Linked DNA regions of Lonchura striata. The protein of the gene in region 1 purifies or fractionates together with the protein of each later gene. This does not show direct contact. Links are inferred from orthologs where the notes say so. Each region holds a gene or a part of one and is shown on either strand. Other genes may lie near its edges.

Evidence for each region.
Region 2: the proteins of DYRK1A (region 1) and RBL1 purify together in Homo sapiens (affinity purification with mass spectrometry; 3 studies listed by BioGRID and IntAct, with this or other methods). This does not show direct contact. The link is inferred for Lonchura striata from reciprocal best matches to the Homo sapiens genes DYRK1A and RBL1.

Annotation. Positions count from the first base shown.
Region 1 is NC_134604.1:114,752,495-114,759,857, forward strand, and holds the start of DYRK1A (dual specificity tyrosine-phosphorylation-regulated kinase 1A), read right to left. Parts: upstream 3,017-7,363; 5' UTR 2,900-3,016; intron 2,682-2,899; exon of another isoform or gene 2,388-2,681; intron 1-2,387. UniProt on the Homo sapiens protein: Dual-specificity kinase which possesses both serine/threonine and tyrosine kinase activities. Exhibits a substrate preference for proline at position P+1 and arginine at position P-3.
Region 2 is NC_134619.1:14,350,075-14,357,616, forward strand, and holds the start of RBL1 (retinoblastoma-like protein 1), read right to left. Parts: upstream 3,005-7,542; 5' UTR 2,984-3,004; coding exon 2,852-2,983; intron 2,729-2,851; coding exon 2,595-2,728; intron 1,654-2,594; coding exon 1,453-1,653; intron 142-1,452; coding exon 77-141; intron 1-76. UniProt on the Homo sapiens protein: Key regulator of entry into cell division. Directly involved in heterochromatin formation by maintaining overall chromatin structure and, in particular, that of constitutive heterochromatin by stabilizing histone methylation.

The sequences.
Region 1 (7,363 bases):
AGCAACAAAAAGTGCTTTTTTTGGTACCAGTAGGTTTTAGTCTTCAGAGCAGCACCCATTCGAGCTCAGAAGAAGCTGTGAAATGCCTGCATGGCAAATAAAAGCTCCGGTTTTGTGTGTTTATTCTTTTCACATACCATCTGAGCAGGTGGTCCAGTGACTTTAAGATGTGGCACATGTAAGCAAGTCTGTCCTAATTAAATGTCACTTGAAAAGCTCGGACAAGGCAGAGTTTTTCCCGGACACCAGAGGTGCTCTGCAGCTTTGTTTGAACTATCAGCCACTTTGCAAAAGTCTCCTACGGCCCTCAGGTGTTCATTCCCACCCTGCACAACCCCCCAGACTCCCAAACTGGATAAATTCCCCGTGAGTCCCTGCTTGTTTCACACCAGGAAGGGAATCCTGCACTGAAAGGGAGAACTCTTGGCTGCTATGAGGTAAAATTATCCTTGTCACTGTCCAGCTGGGGGAGGGGATGCCAATGACAAGTCCCAAATCCATCCAAGTATTGATGCAGGAACTGTAACGCTCGCTCCTGTAACCAACCCTACCTGTAAGCTTGGAAACAATATCAAACTCTTGACCTATTGCCCTCCTGGCTTAGGAAAACCCTGCTGGCTCTTTCAGTTTTGAACAAGATATACTTGCTTCACCCAAGGAATATTCCAAAGCCATGAATTAAACTCAAAAAGCTTCATGAACTTGGATGGAATTTTTAATTCACAGCAAAAAATGTAAATTTAACACTTCACACACATATTCTACTTCAGACTGCAAATAAAAAGTCTAGTTCTAAATAATTCATGTAAGCCAAAAACAAGAAGCATAGCCTACAAAAGTATCTATATATACACACACCAAATATATATAGATAATAGTTAACAAATACTAGCTCAGAGTTATTTTCAGTGTTATTATACTAATTCTATAAAGTATAATTAATTTTCCAAAAATATCCAACCTACAGAGGTTGGGGGAAGGGCGGCGTGGAGAAAGAGAGAAACAAGTTTACCAAAACTTTTTAGGGCTACAGACTATTCCAAGGAGGGAAGTTAAATTCTGCTTGGTTACAAGCAAAGAATTGAGTACTACCAGAAATTAAATGTTTGCTGATTTATCACCAGATATCATCTATGTGTTCTTTGACTTCACACACCTTTCTTGAAGAAAAGGTAAGGAAACACCAAGAAGATAATAAAAAAAGTTGTTAACTTGTTCAAATCCGGGCCCCCATGAAACTCCATCCACCTCAGTGTGACTTCAAGGACCTCCTGGCAGAAATTAACACCACACACTCATTCGGATTCAACCAGGATGGCTGTCAAAAACACGCTTGTCGATTTATTTTGTAGCGAGTTACTCTGCCTTTGTTGATTCTAAATAACAATAAATGTTAATTTCCCTCGATGGCTGTGGAGTAATAGGAGAACTAAGTAACAGCAGCAATCTAGAAACATGATCAAAGAAGCCCTACCTGGTCTTTGGAGGGGCTAAACCCCAAGCTTCAAAGCCGACTGAGATCCAAAACCACACCAATTTCTAAATTTCCAATTCCAGGACTTTAAAACGCGTTTTGTGATCCCACGGCGGCGGGAGGGAACTCTGGCCACTCCAGAGGAGCACCCAGTGCATCCGAGAGGAGCCCCAATTCCTCCCCACAACACAAAGCTGAATCCCTAAAAGGCCGCGGCCAGCTACTAAAAGACGGATTCAGGGAATCATTAATGATGGAAAAGAGCTCCGAGATCATCGAGTCCAACCTACGGCCACCTTGTCAAGCAGCCCATGGCACCGAGAGCCACGTCCAGCCTTTCCTTAAAGACCTCCGGGGACGGTGCCTCCGCCACCTCCCCGAGGAGCGCCCGTGTGTCCCTGCCTGTCCCTGTGCCTGTGTGTCCCTGCGTGTCCCTGTGTCTATTCCCAACGCTGCTCCCTCCTCCTCCCCACCCCCACCGAAGGGATGACAGGCACCTCGCTCAGGTAACTCCTTCCCCATCTCCCTGCACCTTCCCCACCCGCCCCACCGGCCCCTCACAGGTGCCGGGGGCATCCCAATCCTCCCCTACAACAGGTGATGCTCCGAGTCCTGCCGCCCTCCTCGCCGCCAGCCCGGCCCGAGCCCTCGCACCCGCCCACCGCAGGGCGTTGCGCATAACACCGAGAGGCTCCGGGCGAGCTCCCTTCCTCCATCGCCGCTCCCAAGGCCCGGCAAGCCACAGCCGCGCTCCAAGGGGAAAAAGGCCGCGGGCTGCGGCGGGGCGGGCGGGGATGGATCCCGGCCCTGCCGCCGCTCCCGCTCTAAGATGGCAGCGAAGCGCTGCGGCCCCTCCGCCGCGGGCCCGGGCGAGGCGGCCCCGGCTCGTCCCGCGGCGCGGCGTCTCACTCACCCGTGCGGCGGCTTCTCCCGGGGCGAGGCCTCTCCCTCCGCGGGGCGAGTGCCGGGCTCGTCCTCCCGCTCTTCCCCGGGGGCCTCGGCGGCGGCGGCGGCGCCTCCTCCTCCCTCGGGCCGCGGCTCTGCCCGCGGTGGGGAAGGGGAGCCCGGGCGGCCCGGCGGGTCCCCGGCCGGGCTCTGGCTGTTCGCTGCCCTCACAAAATGGCGCGCGGTCCAAACCTGCGCAGCGCCCGGCGGCGGCTCGGCCTCGCCTCGGCTCGGCTGCGATCGGCGGCCTGAGCCCCGGCCGGGAGCGCGGGGACAGCGGCGGGGGGAGCGGGAGGAGCGGGAGGAGGAGGAGGAGGAGAAGGAGGAGGAGGAGGGGATGGGGGGAAGCGCAGCGCCGTACCGAGCCCCCGGGAACTCCTCGCTCCCTCCCTCCCTCCCCCGCCTGCCAGCCGCTACCTCCTCCCCCTCCCTCCCTCCCCGCCCGCTCCTCCTTCCCTCCCTCCCTTCTTCCTCACGAACCGGCTTCGCTTCCCGCACCGCCGCCGCCGCCTCAAGCCCGGCCGCGCATCCCCGGCGGGACCCTCGGAGCGCACTTTTTTTGCGTCCCTTCTTTTCCTTTTCCTTTCGCGGTGGAGGTCGGAGGAAGGAGAAGAAAAAAATAAACTTTAAAAAAAAATAATAACCCCCCCGAGATTCTGGCGGAAATGGAGCTATTTGCTCTTGGGGTTTTTAAATTATTATTTTATTTTAATTTTTTAAAATAATTTTAAATTTAAAAAAAAAAAACCCAACTGACAAAATGGCGGCGGGGGCGAGCCTGTTGCCGTGGCAACTGTCAATCACCCGCGGCCGGGCGGGAGACGGCGCTGACGTGGGGAAGCAAGGGCGGGCCGCTCTCGCCATGGCAACGGCTCCTTCCCCCCCTCTTTCCTGATCCATGCCCGCCCGCCCTCCGGCGTGTGACGGTGTCGGCGGCGCTGCGGGCCGGGATGGCCCCGGCGGGGCGGGGAAGGAGAGCGGCCGCCATTGCCGGTGAAGGGGGAGCCGGCGGTTGAGGCGGCGCCGGCCCCGGCCCGCAGGGGGCGCCGGGAGCGCGAGGCCGAGCCCGCCGGGGCTTCCCGCCCGCCGCCTGTGGGGAGCGGCGGGGCCGGGCGCGGGACGCCAGGCGTTCCCAAAAAACCGTCCAAAAAACGCTCTGGAAGGAGCTTAAAGTGCCTGAACCCGCTGAGGGAAGGCTCCCCTCGGCATTGCGTCCGCGCGTTTTTCTCGACACGCTTAAAAATATCACCCCCCCCAAAAAAAAAAAATACGAGTTGGGAAATGCGCTAAAAGTCGTCCCTGTGGGAGACCCGGCGTTGCTGGGGAGTCACAGGGTTCTGGAAGGTTTCTTGCCCCTCAGAATTGCATCCGGGGGTCTTCCTTGTCCCCTGGAAAAAATCTGTATTTCCCCAAGACAAGTTTTAAAACGCACTAAAAGTCACCCGGTGTGGGAGGCTTGAGCTGCTGAGGGAAGAAGGCTCCTTTCCCCTTGAAATTCTGTCCAGGGTTTTTCTAATTCTCATCAGAAAAAAAAAAAATATATATATGTATATTCCCCCAGAAGTGAGTTAGATGTGGGAGCCTCAAGCTGCTGAGGCAAAGCTCCTTTCCCCTCAGAATTGCATCCAGGGGTCTTTCTCACCCCCCTCTGAAAATCAATATATTCCCCCAAAATGAGTTTTAAAATGCACTAAAAGTAGCTTGGTGTGGGAGCCTTAAGGTGCTGAGGGAATCACAGAATAAAAGGCTCTTTTCCCCTTGGAATTGCATCATGGGGTCTTCCACATCCCCCCTCAAAAAATCAATATATTTCTCAAAAAATGAGTTAAAATATGCACTATAAGTAGCCCAGTGTGGGAGCCTCGAGCTGCTGACAGAATGCTCCTTTCCCCTCGGAACTGCTGGATTGGTGTTTCCAGCCTAAATCTGTGACGAGGTTTTTAAGGGGGTTTTTTTGGTTTGGTTTGGGTTTTTTCTTTTTTTTTTTCTCTTTTTTTTTTTTTTTTTTTTTTTAGTTTCTGGAATGCCCACAAGGATCAAAAAGTAGAGTCTGGCCTTTATCTAATACTTTAATTCTGACGTGTGATACTTTAATCTAGTAATTTCATTTCCTAGCCAGCCTCCTTGGAGAAATTAGGACATGTTACATGTTCCATTTGCTTTTTCTTCCTGTTTTAATTTTTTTTTATTTTTTTATCTTGGCTTAAAAGGTTGAAATAAGCAGCCAAGGATTGGCAGAACGGATGCAGCCAAAGCCAAAGCCCCCCAAATAATTGAAGTGTTGAGAATTTTACTTACATTGTGTGATCACACAATCCCAGACTGGGTTGGGGTGGAAAGGACTGTAAAGATCATCTCATCCCACCCCTGCCATGGGGACACCTCCCATTTTCCCAGGCTGCTCCAAGCCCCAAATCCAACCTGGCCTTGGGCACTGCCAGGGATCCAGGGGCAGCCCCAGCTGCTCTGGGAATTCCATCCCAGGGAAGGATTTCTCCCTGATATCCCATCTAAACCTCTCTTTCTCAGCTTAAATCCATCCCTGTTTATCTTCTCACCCCTTGTGAAAAGTCCCTCTCCAGGGACAGGGGTGCACAGGGCAGAGGAGGGAAATCGCGGGGCCACCCCAGGAGTGACAGAGAGGTGTTAGGTGAGTTGAAATTATCTATGGAACTGCACCTTCCAGCCCTGGGAGGTACTTGGGGGCACCGTGATTTCAGTGATCCTTTCTCATTCCCCTCAGCCCCAGAAGGATTTGTGGTCACTTGGAGCTGCTTTTGACACTTCTCTCGTCGACTCTGAGCATGGCCAGAATGTGGCTCTTGTCCTGGGATGTGGAAAGCAACACCTGAGGGAGCTGGGAAAGGGCTGGAGAGTTCCTGAGGGAGCTGGGAAGGGAATGGAGAGTTCCTGAGGGAGCTGGGAAGGGGCTGGAGAGTTCCTGAGGGAGCTGGGAAGGGAATGGAGAGTTCCTGAGGGAGCTGGGAAGGGGCTGGAGAGTTCCTGAGGGAGCTGGGAAGGAGCTGAGCCTGGAGCAAAGGAGGCTCAAGGGGACCTTGTGGCTCTGCACAGCTCCTGCCAGGAAGGGACAGCCGGGGGGTCGGGCTCTGCTCCAGGAACAGGGACAGGAGGAGAGGGAACGGCCTCAAATGGCACCAGGGGAGGCTCAGGTTGGAGACTGAAAACAAATTTTCCCCCAATTCTTCCTGGCAGAGTGGTCAAGCCTTGGGATGAGCTGCCCAGGGAGGTTTGGAGTCACTGGAATTGTCCCAGAGGAGTCTGGATGTGGCCTTGGGGACAGGGTTTGGGTGATGCTGGTGGCACTGGATGATCCTGGAGGGCTCTTCCAAGGTGGACAATTCCAAGATCTCAAAGGCCAACCTCTGCCCAGTCCCTCAGTCAGGAAGGACAGCTTCGCTCCCAAAGAGGAGCAAGGGGGCATTCCCTGAGGATTTTTTCCCTCTAAAATCTCTTTCTGGTCTGTGTGAGTGCAGTGACAGAAGAGTTTCTCTGTTTCTCAATGTAGGTAACTTCAAAACTCACAGAAATTTGTTACACTGTTCACTGCATTACTGTAACTTCCTGGGGTTTGGGGTTTTTGTCAGGTTTTGAGGAGTTTTTTTGCTAACACTTAAAAATATTACAGAGTTTTCAATAGGTTTTGCATTTGCTCAGTCATCCTCTACTTTTATTTTGCTGGCTCTGGCACCTTGGGCAGAGAAAAAAATGTCCTTTAAAAGTTGATGGCATCTTTTTAAAATGTTATTTTTCAGCACAAACATCTAGATATTTTTGGCTTGTTAATTTTATCTGGATAATGAATAACCTGCATGGTTCTTCCCTTGTACAAAAGTGTTCTCTTCAATATCCATTTCATTAAAAGGCAAGGGGAGGTTCAGGTTGGACATCAGGAGGAATTTCTTCCTGGAAAGGGTTGTCAGGAACTGAACTTGTGTTCTCTGCTGGAGGTTTGGGGCTCGGGTTAGGGATCCTCCAGGCTGGGATTCCACCAGCATCCTGCCTCACCTGGAAACTTTGCACACGAGTTGGGGCCTGGATGAAGGGAATCCAAGTTCTTGCTTATCAAAAATTATCAAAACTTACTCCTTTTTATTTTGTTTAGGAAGGGAGGGACTGCCAAGACAGGAAAGACTTGAGAGTCCTTTTTTTTTTTTTTTTTTTTTTTTTAAACTCTCCATCACAATCCACCTGGAGTAGGTTTGCAGTACTTGAAAACAGGAGTTTGTGAACATTGTGTATATGAATTAGTGGACAGGCTTGTAAGAAATACTTGGATGTCTTTTCCTAAGAGACCACCCCTCAGAAAGCAGAATATCTGGGGTCAAAAAACCCAATAATAAGCAGAAAAATTGAGAAAAAATAAGATAAAAGCACATTGAAAATGAGGAGGAAAGAGTGGAGAAATTAGCTCTAAGTGAGAAAATAACATACAGCAGTCTAGAGAAATGGAATAGATGTAAAAGAAACAACAAAACAGCTGAAGAGTTGGGATTGTTCAGCCTGGAGAAGAGGGTTGTGTGGAGACCTCACAGCACCTTCCAGTGTCTGAGGGGCTACAGAGAAGTTGTAGAGGGACAATTCATCAGGAACTGGAGTGACTTCAGACTGAAAGAGGGGAATTGCAGGTTAGGTATATGAAGAAGTTGTTCCCTGGGAGGGTGGGCAAGCCCTGGGCTGCCCCTGGATCCCTGGCAGTGCCCAAGGCCAGGTTGGACACTGGAGATTGGAGCATCCTGGCACAGTGGGAGGTGTCCCTGCCATGGCAGGGATGGCACTGGATGGTTTTTAATGTCCCTTCTGATCCAAACTATGATTCTATGGCAGTGGAGTGTGATTATGGGTAATATGTCCCATTTTTTCCCTTTCCAGCCTTCCTTCATGGAGAAGAGGGGCCCATTTTCCTCATCATTGTGTGCTCTGGAA
Region 2 (7,542 bases), on another chromosome or scaffold:
CATCATGTCAAGCAACACAACAGAAGGTCACAGCTGGGAACGTGTACAAACCATGCAGGCAAAGCAAGCAGCTTACCCTTAGTGTACACAAAGAGAGTCCAGCAGAAGTTGAAGAGATCTTTGACGCTGCACGGCACCCGTCTGTCAACAAGAGAAATAGGGGGAGAAGTTACTCTTCAGTTCCAGGAAGCCAAACCTTGTTCTACAGTTCAAATTTCATTCCATTTCCCTGCTTAAAACAACAGCTGGAGCTGCTGTCACAATTCCACACTAAGGCATAGTCTAAGCTACATGTCCCAAGTTCAGTTCTCACTGCCTGACAATGCCTGACCTTGCTCCACAGAGTGTCCTGCACACACCCACAACTTCTTAACCCTGTTCCCAAGCCAAAGGCTGCTTCTGGCTTCTGACCCTGCCACACTATTCTGCTGGTGTTGTACCTCCCACAGAACCCTCCTATGGGTGGGGAGGTGACAAAGGCTATATGTATTTTCCAGTGATGGCTTTTCCATTAGCCATTCCTTTGGAACAGGCAATTGTAGCTTGTACTACAACTCAGCTGCTGACTCCTGTTTGGAGCAGAACTATCCAAGCCCATGGAGCTGGAAGACCAAGGAAGACATGACTCAACCCACAGAGCAGCCAAAGCTGTGGTGGCACCAACCAACACTGCTCTGAGAAAGGAACACCAACAAAGCAGCCATCAGAGCACCTCCCCCTGCACTCTGCCTGTGGATGTGGAGCTACACTGGAGCACTGCACCAGAACAATGATCCCCCCTCACATCCAGAGAACCCACATGAACTGATAAAAACACCTTGCAGATCCACAGCTTGGCTCCCTCATCACGAAGGTTATAATCTCACTACAAAGCTGTCCCAGCCAGATATTCTTGCAGGGAGTATGGACAAGCTCCTTTCCGTAAGGCAGACATTCCATGTGTGCATTGAAGATGACACCACATGTTCCCAAATTTCTCAAAGAAATGAGCACATCAGCTGTAACTTCCCCCCATTTGGTGTTTCCACTCATCTGGCAACCACGGCAAACACCTGGCAGCATGGAGGTCACAGAATGTGACAGCCCTCGAGCAGACGGATCATGGTGTCACACCAACCTCCTGCCAGCACTGTGCCAAGACAGAACACTGCTGTGCTACTTCAGCTATTGCTGCTAAATGTTTGAAGTGTTGATCTCACTGCACCTTGGAGCTAACCTACCTCAGGGTACCTCTCCCCACCACACCCTGACACTCTCACTGTGGGACAGCTCCTGTGTTACAGCAGCTGCATATGCAGCTGACCTGAGCTGCACCCACCGGGCTCAGGGGTGGTTCTGCGCTGGCTGCATTTCAAAGTCAAAGAGACCCCATCACTCTGGAAATTAATTTTCGTAAACTTATATTGGGTATAACTCTTTCCAGGGAAAAATCACATCAAATCTAAAAAATACCTCTGCTTCCTGCTTCGATGTGGTTTGGAACTTTCTTCATAAGGGTTTTGAAATATATCAAAAAATATTGGTTCAAACTTTTTGAAAATCACAGTTGACACTTCAAAATTTCTCTCCAGCCTCTCAACTCGCTCTCGGAATTCCTGGGGCAGGTTTGACATGTCCATCCACTTCTTCATTTTGCTAAAAAACTGAATTAAACTTAAAAGAAAGAAGAAAAGTCTGTTTTCAGCTTTAACTAACTTCCATTCTAAAATTTTAAAAAATCAAAGTGCAACATATTTGCTCCTTTAAAAACTGACATAATTACTATGTAGGTTTACAATTTATTTTGATAAGACTTCCAAACTGCGTGTTATCAGCTTTTTGCCTTTTATCACTCTGGGGTTTCTCCTTGACCTTCTTTAACGCACGGGAACGTTAACTCGATGTGGAGGCTGTCAGCGTGGCTGTGTGGAGCAGGGCAGTGGTGAACAGCAAAATGCAGGCACAGCTCTGTGAGTGTTGAGGCAGAGGTAGGAGAGGGAACAGAACAAGCCAAGAGTCAATGCCCGTCAAAGTTACCTGCACAAAAACCTGACAGCTGGGGATGTAAATAACTGACAACTCCTCCAGCAGCTCAGCAGAGAGTGGGGTCTTTAAATGGAATGAGCAACATTCCGGGCTCCATGTGCCCAGTTCAGAACGCCAGTGACAGGGCAGCTGCTGCTGGGGCCGTGCGGAAGGTGAGTTCTGTGATCACCTGTGCTGTGTTCCCAGAAAAACCAGCGTCTGCCAGCACTCCATCGAGATTTGGCCTGAATCCTGAGTCAGGCACACGTTGTACCGGGATGGCACGCGCCTAAATGTTTGTGGTAAAATTAACTACGGAGAGAAACAACTGGCGTGTGTAGAACGGCTGCTGGTTCGACATAGGTGGTTTCCTAAAGGCTTGAAGTTGGAAATTACGCATTTCAATCTAATTTCCATCTGTAACAAAAGCGGACTTACTGCTTTAACCTCGCCGTGGCTGGCAGCGCTGGGAGCGCAGGCGAGGCTCCCGGACTAGCGGCTCTGGCAGGGCAGGGCAGGGCAGGGCAGGGCACTCCCGGCGCCGAGTGCTCGGCCCCAGCCGGGCCCGGCCCGGCAGGCGGGGCGCTCACCTGAGGCGTGCGGAGCGCAGGATGCGGGTCAGGGAGACGCCGTTCCCCTCCATCGGGCTGCTCCCCACCGTGGGCACGCGGCTCCGCCGGCAGGCGACGTACAGCGCGCAGGCCAACCAGTGCAGCGCTTCGCCCTGCGGGCACGGGCGCCGCGGTCACCGGGGCAGCGCCGCGGTCACCGGGGCAGCGCCGCGCCCCTCAGGCTCGGCCGGAGCGGGACCGCGTCCGCCCGGCCGGCCCCACCCGGCCCCGCTCACCTCCAGGCTGTAGGTGCCCCGCAGCGCCGTGAAGTCGCGCAGCGCCTCGGCCGCGCTCGCCGCGTCCAGGTTGAGCTCCCGGCAGAGCCGCTCCACGGCAGCGCCGGGATCGGCGGCCGCCGGGCGGGACATGGCGGCGGAGCGCGCGCCAAAACCGCCGGAAGGGCGGGGCCGCTTCCGCCGCGGGGGCGGGGCCGCGGGCACCGGCGGGGGCGGCGGTCGCGGCCGGCCGGGGTCACCCGGTGTCTGTCACCCGGTGTCTGTCACCCGGTGTCTGTCGCCCGGTGTCTGTCACCCGGTGTCTGTCGCCCGGTGTCACCCGGTGTCTGTCACCCGGTGTCTGTTACCCGGTGTCACCCGGTGTCTGTTACCCGGTGTCTGTCGCCCGGTGTCTGTCGCCCGGTGTCACCCGGTGTTACCCGGTGTCTGTCGCCCGGTGTCTGTCACCCGGTGTCTGTCACCCGGTGTCTGTCGCCCGGGGTCACCCGGTGTCTGTCACCCGGTGTCTGTCGCCCGGTGTCTGTCGCCCGGTGTCACCCGGTGTCACCCGGTGTCTGTCACCCGGGGTCACCCGGTGTCACCGTCTGCAGGCGGACGCTCGGTGCTGGCGGGTGCTCGCGGCCCGTTCCCGCGCAGGGCTCCGGGAGGCCGCGGCAGGAGCGGCTTTTCCTCGGGCCCCAGCGCCCTGGCACACGCGTGGCTGCGGCATCTTCTCGGCGGCCTCCGCGCCCCGCAGCGCCGGGGAGCCGCTCCACGCGTGTGCCGCGGCCGCGCTCCCCGGCACCCGTGGCGCGGCCCCGGCCCGATCCCGGTCGCAGCGGGCGCTCAGAGCGTTTCCAGGTCCCTGTTCCACTGGAACCGGCGCCGACGGACGGAGCCCCCTTGGGAGCGCTCGTGTCTATCGGAAGCCGTGGCCATGGAGACACCGCCCGCCCTCGTGGGCAGGAAAGCGGCTCCCGCACCTCTGGAAGGGGCTCTGGAAGAGTCACGCAGCGTCCGCAGCGCTGGTTCGATAGGGAACAGGGCTCTGAACCCGCCTGTCACTGGAGGATACCTGAACCACCTCCCTTCTGCTGGGAAGGCGTGGGACGGAGAACACGCGGAGCACGCCCGGAGCGGGTGCGGCGGATCCCCCGCCCCGGTACCTGCGGCGATGCGAGGATGCTCAGAGGATGTTCAGGATCCGGCCCCGCCGCACCCGCTCACTCGGCAGCCCCTGCCCTGCCCCGACCTCCGACCCCACTCAGAGATCCTGGGGTTGGTTCTTGAAAATGCTCTTCTGCAAAGTGCAGGGATCAGTTCGTGGGATCCGCGGGCTGGTGAGGCTGGTTCCTCACAGAGAATCTAATCAGTTTTGTGCTTTCCAAAACATAAAAACCAGCCTTAATCCAACATTCCATAAAACCCAGCCTTAATCCAACATACAAATCTATCTGGAAAATACTGGCCATAAGAGCATGGAAAACTGCTTGTCATAAGCAGACAGGAAATCTGTTTCATTTGTGGTATTGAGACTTTGGGTCCCACAGGTTTGTTTATTCCTTCTGGACCAGAGATGTGTCTTCCTCTAGGTGAGCCAAGCTCTGGTTTTTGTGCATCTTTTCCTCTATCAGAAATCTCTGTCCTTTTCTGAAGGGGAAAAAAGACACTGTGAGGTTTTCTCTTAAAGTTTTGTTTTTCCAAAGAATACAGGCAATTCCTGTACAATGTCTCCCTGTGCTATAGCACAGCCAGCTGAGAAACTTGACAACCAAGGCTTGGCAGGAGCCCAAAGAGAGGAGAGGCTGGAGCATCTGCCATGGCTCTCACTCCTCCCAGTTGCTCCTGCAACAGGTTCAGGACAGTATTTCTTGAAACCTGAAGGCTAATGCTGGGCTTGCCTGAACCGATGTATTCAGGCAGGCTGGGACTGAGTTCCAAGTTAAACCAGTAATGTCACATCTCATCCAGACCACTGGCAAATGGAGCCAGGTAGTCGTGCTGTATGGAGTTGTTCATTAATAAAAATCCCACTGGAGGGAGAACAAGGCCACTTGGGGAATGAGACATCTTCTGCTTGGGCTGAAGATCTTGCATTGTTTTATACCTCTTGAGGTGAAATCTTGATTCTTCAGAAATTAGTGCCACCTATGGCACTGCACCAAAGGCCTCCAGGCACCCCTGGGAGCACCATGAAACAACGAGCATCCCCAAAAGCCATGTGGGAGAGTGAGGATGATGTTCCTAGGCCTGCTGTCCAAACGTACAAGGCACACTGTGCAGATTGACGGGAAGGGGATTGAGAGAGAAGCTGGATTTCTCCTCCCTCTGCTTTCCCAGAGATGCTGCTCTGCAGCACTGGCAGCACTCTTTCCTGGCAGCACTGCCTGCTGTCTGGTGCCCATGGCCGAGCATGGGTGCTATGGGCAGCTGGGCACTGCCACACGGGGCGTGAAGCATCTGGGGGCTTCACCTGTAGCCTAGTCCCTGGAAACTTCTTTGAGGTTGTAAAATGTGAGGAGATTCCTCACATTTGATCTCGTGACTCAGCCTGTGCTCCAGAGCTCTGGGGCTGAAGTAGCTCCTTGAAGAGGTGAGGAACAAAACTGCACTGAAAAGCTCAAATTTAAATGCAAACCAGATGTCATTAGAGAAATTGCCTTCTGCTCACTGCTGACCAAGATTTCCAACCCCAAATCCTTTCTTGTAACTGTCAAGAGCCCAGAGTGGGTACATCTGCACCCAGGGTAGGTAAAGTTCCTCCAACCATGGCTCAGTACTGAGGAAAATTCTTCCCCCCTTTTTTGTGACTATAAAGGGAATTAGAGATCCTGTCTAAATGTGTGATGAGACTTCTGTCAGATAAAAACCAGGCAAGGACAGCAGGGATGTGCAGCTGTGCCTGTTTTACTCTCTCCAGGAAGCGGCACTTGTATCCTGTAAAACACAATAGGGAGCAAGCTGTGCCCACAGTGCCCATCCTCCACCACATCCACTCAGTGCTGCAAGCAGGAAGCACACCTTGTCTGAAGAGACAGAGACCAGCCACCACTGATGTGACAGCTCAAAGCCAGCACATGCTCCTCCAGGGCCCTCCTGCTGTAGCCTCTGCCAGCAAATATCCTGCATTATGGATGCCGAGCACAAGGATGCAGTGTGTGGAGCCAGATTTTAAAGAGAGATTCTGGAACTGGAAATTCATAGCTCATGATACCATTTTGCCAGTCTTTTCTGTGGGGTACTTTTCTATTCTTCCTCCCCAAAGGAGCAACAAAATACCAGGACAAGGTGCTTACACAGAGCAGGTGGAGCAGTAAAAGCACTGCTTTTACTCTGTGTCTTTTTTCCTGGATCTTGGAAGAATAGAGCTGGTCCTACATATCATTCTGACGAAACACTGACGAATGTCTGCTTTGCTAAAGCCTGAGATCCTTACACAGAGATTTAGGACAAGCATTTCACAGAACTTGGAGGTACAGGAAGCACAGGGAGAGGAGCCCAGCACCCCCAGTACCCCACCTGCTGTGAGGGGCTGTGCACATGCCAAGGGGTGTAACTGCTTGGAGGGTGGGGGTGTGTGAGACAACTGTGGAGGCCTCTGGACTTTTGCCCACCCTTGCGGAAAAAGCATGTCAGCAGAGAGCCCTGGTACATCCTCTGTGCTTAAACTGTCCCTGGAGCTTGGGCTGCTCCTGGCATCTTGCAACCCACGTGGAACATGAGTTCCCTCAGGCTGGCGAGTTCACCCAGGGCGCAGTGGGAGCTGCAGCTTCGCCCCCTCGCAGCCAGCAGCAGAGTAACACACAGGGCACCAGGAGCAGCCTAGAGCAGTGACCAGGCAGCTGCTTTCAACAGCTTCTCAATGGGATCATGCTGAGAAAAAGGCAAGTCACGTTTATCACTGAGTCAGGTGAATTAAACATTCACATATATTTGCTGAAAAAAATTATATACATCTGTAGCAAGGCTCTCCCAAGTCTGAAAGATAAGCATCCTCTAGTCACTGAATTAAAAAAATAAAAATCTGACTTTTAAATATTTTTCTTTTTATCCATGTTCAAGAGCACAGACAGTTTATTTTGTTAGCACATTTTGTGAAGGATGTATGTGTGTGAATAGCCATGAAAACCAGTCAAAATTTGGCATTTGTTTGGGATATGATGGAAAAGAAGAAGCAGCCACTTAACGCCTTACAGTCTAAATAATCCACAGAGTATATCGGGTTGCAAAAGGGTCACAAAGTAGCAAAGAGAAGCCTAAACACCCAGAGACGTAGCATACATGTCTGCTAAGGAAGAACAAGGTATAGAGCATGCTGACTAATTAAATAAATTCCACTTTAGACCCTGTTCCTTATCCATGTAACCCTGGAAAAATCATCCCATAACAAGAAGTGGACTCGGAAGAGATTTCTGTATCCATTCACAGTAAGGCTTTGAAGATATATGAAGTTTTATAGCATTTGTATTTTAAGGATTTAGGGCAAGTACATGTTCTTCCACTGAATAAAAACAAAGTTAGTACTTAAAAGGTTCAAAAATATATCAATTGTGACTTTTCTTTACATAAATAAATTATATTGATTTTGGATTTAACAGCTGAAAAAACCCTTTCTGCTTCCACTGGAGGCAAAAACTGAACAAAATGTTAGTTAAATAGAGATAGCAGCATTTCTAAGAAATCTGTCGACAGTGATACAGTATCTATGCTAC